Notamacropus eugenii: one gene and its partner. The protein of the gene in region 1 purifies or fractionates together with the protein of each later gene. This does not show direct contact. Links are inferred from orthologs where the notes say so. Each region holds a gene or a part of one and is shown on either strand. Other genes may lie near its edges.

The links. Proteins that work in one complex are often made in the same cells at the same time.
Region 2: the proteins of ARHGEF2 (region 1) and MARK2 purify together in Homo sapiens (affinity purification with western blotting; 3 studies listed by BioGRID and IntAct, with this or other methods). This does not show direct contact. The link is inferred for Notamacropus eugenii from reciprocal best matches to the Homo sapiens genes ARHGEF2 and MARK2.

The regions. Positions count from the first base shown.
Region 1 is NC_092873.1:380,102,187-380,109,266, forward strand, and holds the start of ARHGEF2 (rho guanine nucleotide exchange factor 2), read right to left. Parts: upstream 3,021-7,080; 5' UTR 3,005-3,020; coding exon 3,002-3,004; intron 1,110-3,001; coding exon 829-1,109; intron 1-828. UniProt on the Homo sapiens protein: Activates Rho-GTPases by promoting the exchange of GDP for GTP.
Region 2 is NC_092873.1:16,682,898-16,690,095, reverse strand, and holds the start of MARK2 (serine/threonine-protein kinase MARK2), read right to left. Parts: upstream 3,001-7,198; 5' UTR 2,901-3,000; coding exon 2,844-2,900; intron 2,076-2,843; exon of another isoform or gene 2,025-2,075; intron 1-2,024. UniProt on the Homo sapiens protein: Serine/threonine-protein kinase. Involved in cell polarity and microtubule dynamics regulation. Phosphorylates CRTC2/TORC2, DCX, HDAC7, KIF13B, MAP2, MAP4 and RAB11FIP2. Phosphorylates the microtubule-associated protein MAPT/TAU.

The DNA.
Region 1 (7,080 bases):
GATGTCTCCATCTGTCTCCCTGTGCCCAGCTCTGGGGGTGTGTAGACTGTTCCCTTTACCCATATCCAAAGTATCCTAACTCCTAGAATACCCAAAAAGCTGAGAATTTATTCTATCAAAATGCAAGTTTAGTCCACTAAATTTAAAATTGTTGAGAAGTTACTTTTGTGCTAGCCTCAGAGTGAAATCCGTGGGTTGGCATATTCTTGAATGTGGGGTAGGAGGTACTATGCTAAACTCTCCCTAGAAATCTCCGAAACAATTGAACTTCTCTCCTTCCCTGTTTTTTTCATCTGAAAAATTAAAGGAGTTAGATGAGATAAACTATAAGGTTTCTCCTGGCATTGTCCATGATTCTACAAAATTCAAGATTAAAGATATATGTCACACTTAGGAAGGAAGGGAGAGAATAGCAGCTAAAGACAGGGATAGAACCCAGTACTGACAGAAAATAGTAGCTAAGAAAGGGAATCCTGTTCTCCCCTCCCTCAGTTTTCCCAATTCTTCAAAAAGCAAGAAAGAAGGATTATTGGAGGAATTTAGGCTACTAAAAGAGATCTACTCTAAGACCATAGGCAGGAACCCCTAGAGTCCAAAAGAGATTCTGAATTAGATACCTGGGTTTTGTCCATTTAAGTCCCTTAGGTGGTAACTAGAGGTCTCAGACTCCCCTGCCCTACCTATCTCCCAAATCTGAGGGCATCTGTATGCAAGTGATTAAAGTACTAAAGCAACTTAGTTCTTCTCACTATTCCATCTTTTCCTAAGTCTAAGGATTCTGAAAAGATAGGTGGGGAAGCAGAATAGATAGGTCCCTTGGGGGCTTACCCTCCCAGTGGATCATTGGCAGCTTCCTGGAACACACTACCAGGCTCCCAACTATGTCGTCTGAAAGGATCACAAATGTAGCTTCGGGCCTGATGGGCTTTTGCTCTTCGGCGGAGCACTGGTTGGAAGCCATCTTCCTCTTCCTCCTCTTCTTCCTGAGACTGCCCGCTGGGCTCCACGGCTGACAGGCATCTCTGAGTTCTTCCTTGGGGCTTGGGGTCTCCTCTTGCCAGGATGGCCTCTGGGATTTTGTCATTCATGGAAGTGGCAGATGGGCTGGCCTAGACAGAAGACAAATAGAGGTTGGGGGAAGGTAGGCTTGGGTATTCTCCTTCAAGGGCCTCCTACTTTGGATGAGGAGAGGCAACTCTCATCCTTCCAGGCTAGCTTCCTAAATATCTTTCATTTTTGCTTTTTTTTAATGCCAGGGTTTCCAGTTACACCAACCAACTTTGGTTTTTGTTCCCCTGAGACAGACTTCTCTCACCTTATCAACTGCACCCTCTTTCAAATGAATGAATGAAAATAACTATATGCTAGTTATTAGATATAAATACAAACAAGTATGTTTTGACAAATAATTGATATGGCCTTTCTAGGAATGGTAGTGTTGATATGAATAGTTTCCAGAGCTATTGTTCAAAAGGGGTGGAGTATATTCTAGGTGATTTGGCATGGAGATGGGTTGTGAAGTAGCAAATGAGCCCTTCTTAGAGACAGGCACTTCGGTAACAGTGCTCATGCTAGATTATATCAAAGATCCATGAACTCTCCAAGGACTTTTGACATTGAGGGTGATGAAATCCCAATCCATGAAGCAATTCCAACCAATCCACCAAACCAATGCCTAGTCCACATTTTTAAGCCCTTTGCTGTGATGGAGATACAGGCATCTGAGTTTCCAGGGACTAATTCTCTAAGGATTACACCTCACTATCCAGTGAGATTTCAGGAGTGGTTATAATCTGTTGAAAGGCAGGAGGGTCATTCCCTCTGCCAGGACCATCAAGGGAAGGGGTATGAAGGTGGAGCATAAACTTCTCCCAAGTCCATTGGTTACCCCAGGGATCTCCTGAATGTCAAAAAGTTCTTCCTATCATCTATTTTCCCTCCCTCCCAATCCAGTTTGCCCACTATCCCTGGCTACATGCAGAAGCTACAGAAAAAGAGATTGTTGGCCAGTCATCTACAACCTTGTGACCCTTTACCACCTAAGGCAGACTCAGGCTTTTAGACTTCTGCAGCTGGTCTTTGTTCCTGACCAATGGAACCCAGGGATGGAAAGGGAAACTAGGTGCAGCCATTGTGCCTATCCATGTCCTTCCTATGCCAAGGAGATGACAAATGTGTAGCCAGCCACCAGAAGAGACTTTCTTCCTTCTCCATAGCTGGGCCTATGCCATTTGTACAAGCTGGCATCCGATCATGTTGGCAGCCAGGATAGGTATGTCTGAAGGGAGTGGGAAAGATGTTGAATAGCTCTGGGGTCAGAGCAGGACTCTCTGTCAACTGCGCACTTTCCAGAGAAAGGTAGATACAAAATTGTGTGGAACTGTGGCTGAGGGAAAAGGGACAGGAACTAGAGAGGGACTGGAGGGGGCACAAATGAGGAGAGAATAGGAGCTTTATTGTCTCTAGATGCACATGGAAATAAGTAGTGAGTCTCCACCCCTATCTCCACGCAGCTAGGTGGTGAAGTAGATAAAGTGCTGGAGCAGGAGTCAGGAAGACTGGAATTCAAATCTGACCTCAGACACTACTAGCTACGTGACCCTGAGCAAGTCACTTAGCCCTGTTTGCCTCAGTTTCCTCATCTGTAAAATGAGCTGGAGAAGGTAATGGCAAACCACTCCAGTATCTCTGCCAAAATAAACTCCCAAACCCAAATGGGGTCATGAAGAATTGGACATAACTGAACAACAACAAACCACCCCTATCTCTCTCACCTGCTTTTTCTCCCCTCCACCCCATAGCTCCATATCTAGAATTAAAATAGGAAGAGGCATGGCAAGCAGAAGGAAATGAACCGAAGTCTTTTCCTGTTTTCTCTCCCTTCCTGGAGACAAATCACCTGATCCCCTAGCCCTACAAACACAGCCCCTGATTCTGATATCACGGAGTTCCTCCCTCTTCCTTCCAAAGCCCAAAGTGCCCACTTCCCTGGTGCCAGTACCATGCTGGTCCATCCAGGGGAAGGCTTTCCAATTCTCTCTACCAGTGGTGGGATTCCCTCTGCTCACATTCTAGTCTTTCTGAAGATGGAATCCCCAGAAGTTCTTCCTCCCTCTGATGACACAGAGACAGGATTTAGAGTCGGAATGAATCTTAGAGATCACATTGACCAATAGCATCATTTTCCAGAGGAAGAAACTGAAGGCCAGTGAGGCATTTCTCAAGCACTGTGATGTGAAAGTCTCTTCTTACACTTCCAGAAAATCCTTTCTTTTGTCCCTGGGCTGTCACATAGAAGCCTCACTCTACTCTTCAAGGGACTGGGGTTTGGCTGCCTCCCCAACAGTACCAGCTCTTGGTAATTCCTTTCCCAAACCCTGGCCTCCTTGCTGCATTTCCTTTTCTGTTCCATGATCTTTATTCCTTCCAAAGACTCTCCCTCAAGCCCTCTCTCCCCACAGGCCTCCTGAGCTTAGGAAATGGAACAAGGGAGTAGTAGCCAGAGCTGGGTCTCACACAATGGCTTTATTTAGCTTCAGAATGAGATCATATCATGTCACAGTGCTGTTTCCACTGAGCATAGATAGGAGGTTCCGAAATAGATCTGAGTTGTTCAACACTTTTGGGGGTGGGGTGGGGTGGGGAAGAACCTCAGGAAGAGAGTAGGTCAGTTCATTCATCCCCTTCAAGGTAGGATGGTTCTCTTGCCCTGAAGGGTCAACATGCATCTCCATTTTCAAGCACCCTTTCAAGAACCATCTCTAACTTCAAGGAAGCCTTTTGGGTGTCTAACCTGCATCCCCTCTGCTGCAGTTAACAACTGAACTAGTCACTTGGTCAACATTCTTGGAGCAATGAGCAAAGTACTCAATGTTGAGTGATAGAACAGTTAAGAAGAAAAGAATGCAGAGGGGAGAGACGCATTCACTGAACTGAATTCAGGTTGAGAGGAGGGGGAACCTTGTCTCTAAATTGACCATGGTATTCAAAGAGGTTACCTGAGATACAAGCTTTTTGGAGGGGCAGAAGAGAAGTGAGGAAGCAGGGAGAAAGTGTCAGTCCATGTTGCAGTTGGAGAAAGGGAGTCCTGAGGAGCCTGTCCAAGGCAGAGAGAGCCAGGAATGGGGGTCTGAGTATCTTCAGCTATTACCTGAATTACATGATAGCGAACCATCTTCACAGAGAAAAGAACAGAAGACAAACAGACTGAAATTAACGCAAGACGGTGGGACAGTTACCCAATAAAAGGAAGAGACCCAGACCATGGAAGGAACAAGAAAATAATCGTTTATATTATGATTCTTTCCTAGGGTTTTACATACATTATCTCTGTGAGGTAGGGGCTATTATTATCCTCATTTTAGAGAAGAGGAAACTAAGACTCTGAGAAATGACTTAATTAGGGTTACACAGCTGGTAAGTGCCTGAGGCTGGATTTGGACCCAGGACTTCCTGATAGCACTTCCTGTCCAGCATTCTAACCACTGCACTAGGCTGCCCTGGGCACCCTGAGCAGAAGACAAAATGCCTACCCACAGAAACACTCTACCAGTCTGTCAGTCTGGCTTGGAGAAGGTGTTACTGGGTCCAGAGGCTGGCATTCCCACTTACCTAGTGTGTAGGGAGAGGTTTGGGCAGTTGAGAGGGTAATGAATGTAAATGAGAGTGTGTAGGTCCAAAGCATGACCAGCTTCCAGCCCCCAGTTATATAGCTGGAATGAAAAATGAAGAACTATCTCATACTAAATTAGGAGATAATCCCCTAAAGAAACCAAGCATGTCCTAAAAGAAATCAGGTAGAGACAGTCCCTCCACTCCCCAAACTGAAACATTTTTAAAAATTTTTCTGTCCATTCCATCAGTTTCCCTGAAAAGCTGGGTGGTGGAGCTGTGTTCCAGAAGTGTTTGCTGCCAGTAAATGCTGGGGTGTGTGTGTGTGTGGTGTGTGTGTGTGTGTGTGTGTGTGTGTGTGTGTGTGAGAGAGAGACAGAGACAGAGACAGAGACAGAGAGAGATGGGGGTAGGTACATAGAAGGGTTGGAAAAGAGAGGGAAACACAGGAGAGTAGAAAGATGATTGCGTCAAACTAATAACCAAGCATTTTACAACTGGGAGGCAACTTTGATCGTTTCTCAGGCCTAGGAGGCTCCTAGGAACTGAGTTTTAGGTTCTTAACTGTCTCTTCAAAGTAACTTTAAAAAAAAGACACCTACCTCCTAAAGATACCTATCTCTTCTCCCCCTCTTTCCCCCCCATCCCCTCCCCACTTCAGAAGAAGGAGAGGCTGGATGTTATGGTTTAATGGCTTCTTTACAGGCCTTATAGCTCTAGGGAGCCAGGGTCACAGACAGTCCTTTGATGGTTCAAAATTTAACTACACTTCTCCTCTTCTTGGGTAAATCATTAATTCAAGTCCTAGTGTGAGGACTAAAGCATTCATGCTTAAGTTAGAGTCTCTTCTAAGACACTTAGTGAGAAAGGTCCCAGTAGATTCTGTATTATCTCTACCTCCTATAGCACCTGGTGACTCTCCTAGCCTAGGGCTGACCCCAGGAATCCAGGGCTCTAATATTTCCTCCTCACTCTGGCAATTTTGAATCCTGAGGTTATTAGAATGCTGGGCTTTGTATGTTCAAGTCACAACCCCACCTCTGAGGACCTGAGAAGAATTTCTGACAAATCTTCGATCTCTACCCTGGGTATCCTGGCACCTAATTAAGTACTTAGCCCCAACCTCTCAGTCAAACACTGAAAACAAATGCAGACCCAATTCTGAGACAGGAAGAAGAGAGAATGATGGGACTAGGATCCCTAAATCCAGAAACCCAGCCACCTCCTGACCCCCAAAGTTAATGAGATGGGACACAGGCACTAACTCTGGAAGGTAGCAAGGCTGGGGATATACCAAGTACCCCTGCCACTGACCCATACCAGTTTCCAGGCTTGCCTCCAGCCAGCCACTCACTTGTATACTCTAGGGCCAGACTGATGAGTTAGCCACCAGCTCTCCAGCAATGATCTCCAGCAATTCAGTTCTGTTGGGAAGGGACCACAGCATCCCTTCACCTCCTAAGACTAACCACACATTCTCTTGCTATAGCGTATAACGGATCAGAAAGCAAGACATCTCAGCTTCTTCCCCTTCACCACAAGCAGCAGTTTGACAGGGTAAAAAGGTGCTGGGCTTGGGATCAGGAAAACCTGTTGCATTCAAATCCCATTTTGGACAGAGAGACCAGGGGGTAAATCACTTAATCTAAGCCTGTTTCCTCATATATAAAATGAGGAATAGTCATTATAGTACCTACCTCAGCAGGATACTGTGAGGCTCAAGTGAGACAATATAAACTGTTAAGCACTATGGCTATCAGTTTTCTTATCATAACCATTACTATTCCCCCCACCCCTGAGCTACCTTTACCCTGAGAGAGCAATTCCCTTACGAGGAACTAAGAGGTAGGCATGGTGGTATTCAGAGAAGAGCATATTAAGTTGGGAGGAAAGGGGAGAATGCCAATCCTCTTTCATTTAAGGCTGGTTTCTTGGCATTGATTCCAAATACAGTGGTAAAGAGGTAGGACAACCAGAGGTTCAGTAGGACACACACGAAGGAAGAGACTTTGGCCAGGGAATGGCTATCCTAGAACAGAATTTCCACCACCCCCATCAAGAAATTTCTGGAGAACAACTAGAAATAGGGCTTGGGTCCCCAAGTCATGGGGATATAATAACATGGGAGCTGGAAGGCTAGGGTCTCTGTTGCCTTCCCCACTTCTACCCTGGGAGGAGAGACAGTATTTGCTTGGGGGGAAGGGGAAAATGGCTTGATGGCTGAATGAGGAGCTCCAACAAGAAAACATACATCCCAAACATACTCCCACAGACACAATCGAATGTTAGAGCTGGGTGAAAGTCAATGAGGAGACAAAGGGTTTAGTGATTTATCAGGGGGCTAGAGAGGCTTCCTAAAGAGTACCACTTTTCTGGTTACTCCTGTTTTTAGACAGGAGCTTGGGTTGGAGGAAAGGGAGGAACAAACTCACCGTTGTTGGGGAACCTACTCCAGCCCCCTGCAGATGA
Region 2 (7,198 bases), about 360 Mb from region 1:
GACTGGGCCAATAGGGGACCATTTCCCCAACCCCCACCTGGCTTGTGGATAATGGGCCCATGACTTGACTGTACTGTGTGGACAAGAAATATTTATTCCAGTTGACATAACACACATGGAGCAGAATAAGGAAAGATCCTAGCAACAGAGGCAGGTGTCTAAAGTCTAGTTGTGAAAGAGTTAATGAAGGCATGGGACCTAGTCCTGGTCAGATGCCCAATGAGCTAGAGTCACTGTTCAAAGGGGAACCAGTGTGACCTGGGAAGTTTTGGACTTCCCAAGAGAACTGCAAACCTGTCAGGCTCATAGAAATTCTCTTGGCCCTACCTTAAAACACTGAATTCCACTCACAACAGTTACCAAAAAAAAAGGTTTCCAGCCAATCTTTGGTTACAACCTGAAAGGCTGCCTGTGCCTTTGCAAGGCTAGCTTTAACCTGGAGCCAGTTGAATTTCAACTAGAAACCAACAGACCACACCCAGGATGGCCTTAAATCAAGCTCTAACCTCCTGTTTGACTACCCCTGGAAGTCAACAGAAAGCAATGGCTCAAGGTCTGACCAAGGACTGACCAAGACTGACTTGGAATTGTTTCTAGAATCACCCTCCACCTTACCCACAGCCTCTAATCTGGCACTTCCCAGATCTGAAGCCCCAGGGCCAAGCTAATGTGGGTTAGGATAATGCAGTCACATCCCCAACCCGCCCAGGCTCAGACCAGGAGGGCCTTTCCACAAGGCAAAGGAGCATGCTCCTAAACAGTCAAGGCCTACCTACAGTCCCAATTCACAGTGCCCGCAACCTACCTACAGAGAAATCACTACAATATTAATAGCAGCCCATTTATCTATAGCATTTTAAAGGATCATAAAGGATTTTTCCTCACAAGGACCAAGTAGGATGTATAGTTTTATCATTAACTCCATTTCACAGAGAGAACACTGATCTATCAAAATGCCATCTTCAACCTCAACCTGACTGGAAACAGCAGAGAAGGCAGCCAGTCACACAATCCACTCAGGGTCTCAAGTCATCCTGGTGTGGCCTCTTCTCCAAAGACGGATGGAAAGGAAAAAGCAAAGCTCAGAGCTCCCTAGAAGACTGAGAGCAACTCCAACGTTCCCACTGCCTAACAGGGACCAGCAGGACAGAGCTTGGGGCTTTCCTTGACAGTTCTGAGGCCCAAATATAGGGTAGGTTTCAAGGCATCTGATTCATGTCAGACCCTGGCCAACAGCAAGTAGACTGAAAGCCATGCCTCACTGCACTTTCCTCTTACTGTGGCCACTGGCTAGAAGACAGGCTGTCATTTTGTTGACTGCCTTTATGCCTGCTAAGTCTCCAATCCAGGAGCCCTGTTTGAAAAAGAAATAAGCAAAAAACTGCCCCAAATGCTGCCCGCCCCCCCATCCAAGAAACCCTCTTCAGGACACAAAGTTGTGTCTGGGGCAGATAGGACAGAACAGAACTCAGAATCAGATGTCACTAAAAGCACCTCCAAGGCAGTCACACTACTACCAGCTGGCCGCCCTCCCTGTTCATCAGCATGGGGGGGGAGGAGAGTGTTCAATTTTTTTTTCAGACAGCTCTGGGGAAAAGAGCAAAGGAAAGAGAGGAAAAAGCTCCAAGATGCCAATGCTTTACCTGTTTCTGGCAGAACCAGGTGAAGTCATCCCGATGTAAAGCTAGGGTCAGAGAGCCTTTCATGGGGGTGGGGAGTCTCCCCACACATCCCTGCCAGCGAGGAGGGGAATCCTCAGCACCCAGCTGGCTGCTGACACTGCCTTCACGTGGAGAAGCCTCCGAGGAACAAGATGGGGCTTCTCCTTCTTGGCTCTGCTGCCCCTTGGGCTCCAGTTTGCCAGGCTTCCTCTGGGGAAGCCTCCTGTCACCTGTCTGAATCTGGGATGTGCCATAGGCCCGGAGCTGGGCTGAGGACAGTGGGAGCAGCTCTTCCACAAGGATGGGGAGAGGTAAGGGGCCCCCAGAGGTGGGGCACCCTAAGGGTGCAGAAGCCAGACTCACATCAGTCTTTCAAGTGGCTGCGATCAAATAAAAGGCAGCGGGGCACTCCCCCCAACACTGGCATCCTTCAGCAAGGACCTGAAAGATCCGAGGGAACAGGAGGCTTTCATTGTCCGCTCAGCCCACCTACGACCCCCCAGAAAGTGGAGATCCAAATGCTGAGCGGGCGTCCGAGTTCATTCAGGCAGGGTCTGGGAGACAGTGGGGGTGGCATCAGAACAGGCTGCGAAGGCTCCCGGGGGGTCGCGGCCCCCCCACCTCCGCTTCACCCCCAAAGACAACACAGACCCAACGGTCGTGGGGAGGGGCCCCTGGGGCTACTGACTGCGGGATGCCAGGGGCAGGGCGATGGGACCACAGAACAGGGCGGAAGAGGCTTCCCAGGGGGTGCCAGCCCCCGCCCCCCAGGTGTCAGAAGCGGGTCAACTTCGGGTGATGCTGGGAGGAGTGGAGCGATGTAAACTCCGGGCTTCCGCGGGCTGCGGTGTAGACCCCGGACTGCCGGAGCAAGGGGGCAGGGACCCCCGCCAGGCTCTCCGCCCCCTCCCCCTCCGTGTCAGGAAGGAGGGCGGCCAGGGTGCAGAGGAAGCCCGGGGTGTGGCCACCCTGCCCTGGCGGGGTCAGGGGCCCCGGGGCCTCGCGGACCCCGGGCGGGGCGCGGGCGGAGCAACAGGTTGCCCGGAGAAAGTGACAGCGGGACGGCGGGCGCTGGGGTGCCAGGGCCGGGCGGCAGCCCCGTCCCCGAGGGGAGGCAGGGGACGGCAGGCCCGGCTGGCACGGCGTGGGCAGGGGCAGCGGCCCCGGACGGCGCGCTCCTACCTGCTGCTCCGTGTCCCTCTCGTTCAGCGTGGGCAGGGGGGTCCGGGCGCTGGACATGGTGCCGCCGGGTCCGGGGGCCCGGGGGCTGCGGGGAAGGGCCGCGGGCGCCGGGCGGCTCAGCGCGGGGGCCCCGGCCGCATGGGCCCCAGCCAGGGGTGCGGGGAGGCCGGGCCGGCCGCTCACGCCAGCCCGCGGCTGCGCCGCTTGGGCTAGGCCGCGCCGGCTCCGGGCGGCTCCGGGGCGGCCCCCGGGCCCGGGCCCGGGCTGGGCTGGGCCGCCGCTCGGCCGCGCCGCCGCCTGGCCCGCTCGCCGCCCGCGCCGCCCGCGCCGCGCCTCCGCTGCCTTCAGCGGCTCCGCTCCGCGCCCGCCTCACAGGCAGCCGCCGCCGCCGCTGCCGCCGCCGCCGCCGCCGCCGCCGGCCCTGCTGCTCCCAACATGGCCGCCGCCGCCGCCGGCCCTCGGCTCTTTCCGCCGCCAGCGGCCGGAAACAGCCGAAGCGCCGGGCGCCCGGCTCCTGGCTGAGGCTGGCCTCCGGAAACAGCCGAAGGCGGGAGCCACGGGAGCGCGCTCGCCGGCCCAGGGCTCCGGAAACGGCCGAAGGGGAGCGCGGCGGGCGCGGCCGGCCCCTGGACACGCCCACTCGCTCCTAAGCCCGCCCCTCCCCGCCCCTTGCAGACTCCGCCCGGGCTCTTTGCCCGCAGCTCGGGCCAGGGCGGCGAGCGGCGTGCTACGAGCTGGCCACGCCCTCCGCCCCGCCCCCGCAGCCGGGGGCGGGCCCAGGCTACTTCCGGAAACACCCGGAGCGCGGGCTGTCCCCGGCCTCACGGCATCCCCGGAGCGGTACCCAGGCGGGGCCCTTGGGGGCCGGCCCGCAGAGGCCCCGCACACCGCACGGAGGCCCGCGGGGCCGACGTCCTCGGAGCGCTGTGTAACCCTTCAAGCGCCGCCGGAATGGGGCGGCAAAGACCGGGACCTCTTCCCCTGGAGAACGAGATGGGGGCGCGGGGGGGTGGGGCAGGGGAAGCCGGATGTGGGCGGGGCCGGGGCTCCAATCCCACCCTCGAGCCGCCACCTGCGTGGACAGGTAACTGACGTCAGCTTCCCGAGGCTAAACGGGAGCACGTACACTTGCGGGGTTACCGAGCGTTTCCGATAATCGGATCCTGCCCCTCCGGCCGCGCGGAGTGCACCGCCCTGCCCACGCCCCTGAGCGGCTCCTCCGTCTGCGGCTGCCGCGGACCGCAGAGACCCCTTCGTTTAGAGCAGAAGTTCGAGAAACCCTCAGCAGCCTCGGGGCGACGAGCAGCAGCGACGCTGGCACTCGGGGTCCGTGCCTCCCCTGGGAGCCGCCTCTCTGCACGTCTGACCCGCGGCCGCCACCTGTCCGGGCGAACGCACCGCCCTCGGAGACAGCTGAAATGAAGAACTTCGTCCTCCAGGGGAGCTGAAAGGTGCCCACCCTCAAGTGGGCGCCCAGACTGGTGCAGGGAAGGAGGGCTGGCCTTGGATCCGAAGACCTCCCGGACTGCAGGCTCTCTCTGCCTCAGTCTTCTCTTCGGTGGAATGGGACTTAGGATCTTCGTATCACCTCCCTCACATGTCCTAGGAAAATAGAAGTTATTGCAAGTGACCCCACTTCTGCTTCCTGGAGCCAAACAGAGCAAAGCAGTCTGATGAAGGGGTGCAGTGGAGAGGGCAGGGCTTCCTGCCTCAGACGCTGGCTATGTGACTGTATGAGCAGGTCACCTCTCAGACCCCATTTCCTCATCTATAAAAGAGTAAAAATACCTACTTCACAGAGTTCTTGTGGAGCTCAACTGAGATGGTGCATGTGAAGCTGTTTCTGAGTGCGGCCTCCTGGCTCCTGTCTGCTTTGGCTCCCCACTTGAGGCAGCCTGGCTCCAGGATGACTCTCCACCACCTACTTTCTCCCAACTCCACTTTCCCCCTTGGAATATAAACTTGTTGAGAATAGAGACTGTTTCGTTTTCGTTATTTTTTGTATCCTCAGCACTTAGCAGAGGACCTAGCACATAGCAGGCATCTAACAAATACTTTAATGGAATCTAGTCCCTCTTGCACATGGCAGCCCATCAAAGACTTGAAGACAGCAATTAGTATTAGCAGCAGTGGTATATTACTATGATTATCTTTCATTATTAAGGCACCATATAAATCAGTTACTATTTGTCTGTCAAGCAACCCATCTATCCCTCTGAAAATCATCTTCATTTTGTTATCTTATTTACTGCAGATCGGATTACTTGCTGGTGGCTATGGTCAGCCACATACAACAGTCCCAAGGATACCCCATAATCCTAAAAGCTGCATCAGGGATGGGAAAGGAGAGGAACCAAGGAAGCTTGCTGAAGCTCACGTCCCTACCCCCACAAGTCAAGAAGGCTCAGGGGTCTCCCCTGACCCTGGCACACTCCAGGCAGGCCTACACTCCTCAACAAGACATGAAAGGGAGACTTCTAATGATTGCTGCCTTGCTGATAGCTCTGGGCTCCCAAAAGGCTGTTATTAACTCATATTTCCTAATCGCCCCTTTGTCATTCACTGGCTGAGGCTATAATGTCCACCAAGCATGTAAAAGTTAATACCACTGAATAATTCTGGATGCTTAGAAGAGCTCACCAGTCTCAGGACATTTTAAAGGTTTCCAAAGCACTTTGCCCTGTAAGAGAGGTAGTATGAGATTATTAAACCCATTTTAGAGTTGAGGAAACTGAGATGCCAAAACTCACACACTGACAGTATCAGTACTGACACCTAGATCTCCTGATGCCAGGAGACCTGCCTGTGCCTCAGTTTCTTCATCTGTAAAATGAGGGGATTGGATTAGATGGTGTCTAAGGGATCCTCTCTTCTCTGTTTTGACCAGATGATCTGGAGTGTTATTTTCAGTTCCAGGCACCATGTTCTGAAAAGGACATTGATAAGAGTCTCCGGAAAAGGGTGACAAGGAGGGTGAAGATGCTTGAGTTCATGGGCAGGATTGCAAAGCAGAGACTGAGACTGGAAGTTGGGAAAAACCTTCCAACCCTTCAAGCCACCCACCAGTGGATGCAGCCACCTGGGCAGGTAGTAGCAGCTTCTTCCTTAGATGTCTTCAAGCAGACACTGGCAGGTCACTTGACACCAGTGTTGTCATGGGTGTTTTCCAGGTTTGGCTTGGATTAGGTGGCACTAAGGTCCCTTCCAATCCCTAAATCAAGTTATGGGATTCTTGTCCTCCAACAGAAGGACCACAGAAAAATCTACACAATGCCCCCAGGGTATTCCTCTGGTTCTAACAAAGAACAATTGTAGCTCCTATTCTAAAGATGATGCCTAGACTTTGCCTTCTGGTAGCTAGCTAGCAAGCTCACCCCTGGGAGCTCAAAGTTCTCTATGGATGAATATTTCAGGGACAGGAATAATTTCAAACTGGATGCCCTGCAGGCACCTAAAACTCAGCTTGTCCAAAACAGAACTCATTATCTTTTTCTCCATCCTCCCTCTCCTGACTTTCCTTGTTTTTGCTGAAGGTTCCTCCCATCCTTCCAGTCTCCCAGATTCCCAAGGTCTCATTGTCATCAAGTCCTCACACTTCCTCACCCCACAGGTCCAGGCAGTTGTCAAATCATGCAGTTTCTCCCCTTGAACCACTTCAAATAGGTCTTTTTCTCATTATCATTCAATTACCTTAGTCAGACCCTTGTCACCACTCTGCTATACAATTATAACGACCTCCTAATTGGAGGTCCCTGCCTCCCTGTCCACTCCCATAGTTGCCAAAATGGTTTCTTTCCCACAAGCCACAGACTCTTGTTACTTTAGCATACCATATAAACTCCTCCATTTTGCTTTTAAACCTCCTGACAACTGGACCACCTTCATTATCCACTCCACCCTTTCTCAATCTATGGTCTTTTGAGACTGGATTTTTCTCTGTCTTCCGCTCTGGGCTCTCTGTCTCTCATCTTTATGTCTTTGTACTCGTCTTTCTCTCCCCAGACCTGAAATTCATTCCCTTCGCAACTCCAACACCAAATTTCTCACTTCCTTCAAGACTCTCATGAAACACCACCTTCTGAACAAAGCTTTACCTGTCCCTTTGTCTCCCACAATTGCTGATACCTTCCCAAACTTCATTTATAACTACCTCGAACTGATTTTTGTATTTATTCAATTTTATATACGTATATGTGTTATCTCCCTAGTAATCCCCGTTTCATTTTGCATTCCTGGCACCCAGCATATAACAGGAGCTTAATTAATACTTGTCAATGGATTAGAAGGGGGTATTGAAATCAGAATCGGAAAAACTCAAAAGAGGCTGAGATCCAAAATGGCAGTGGAATTTTGTC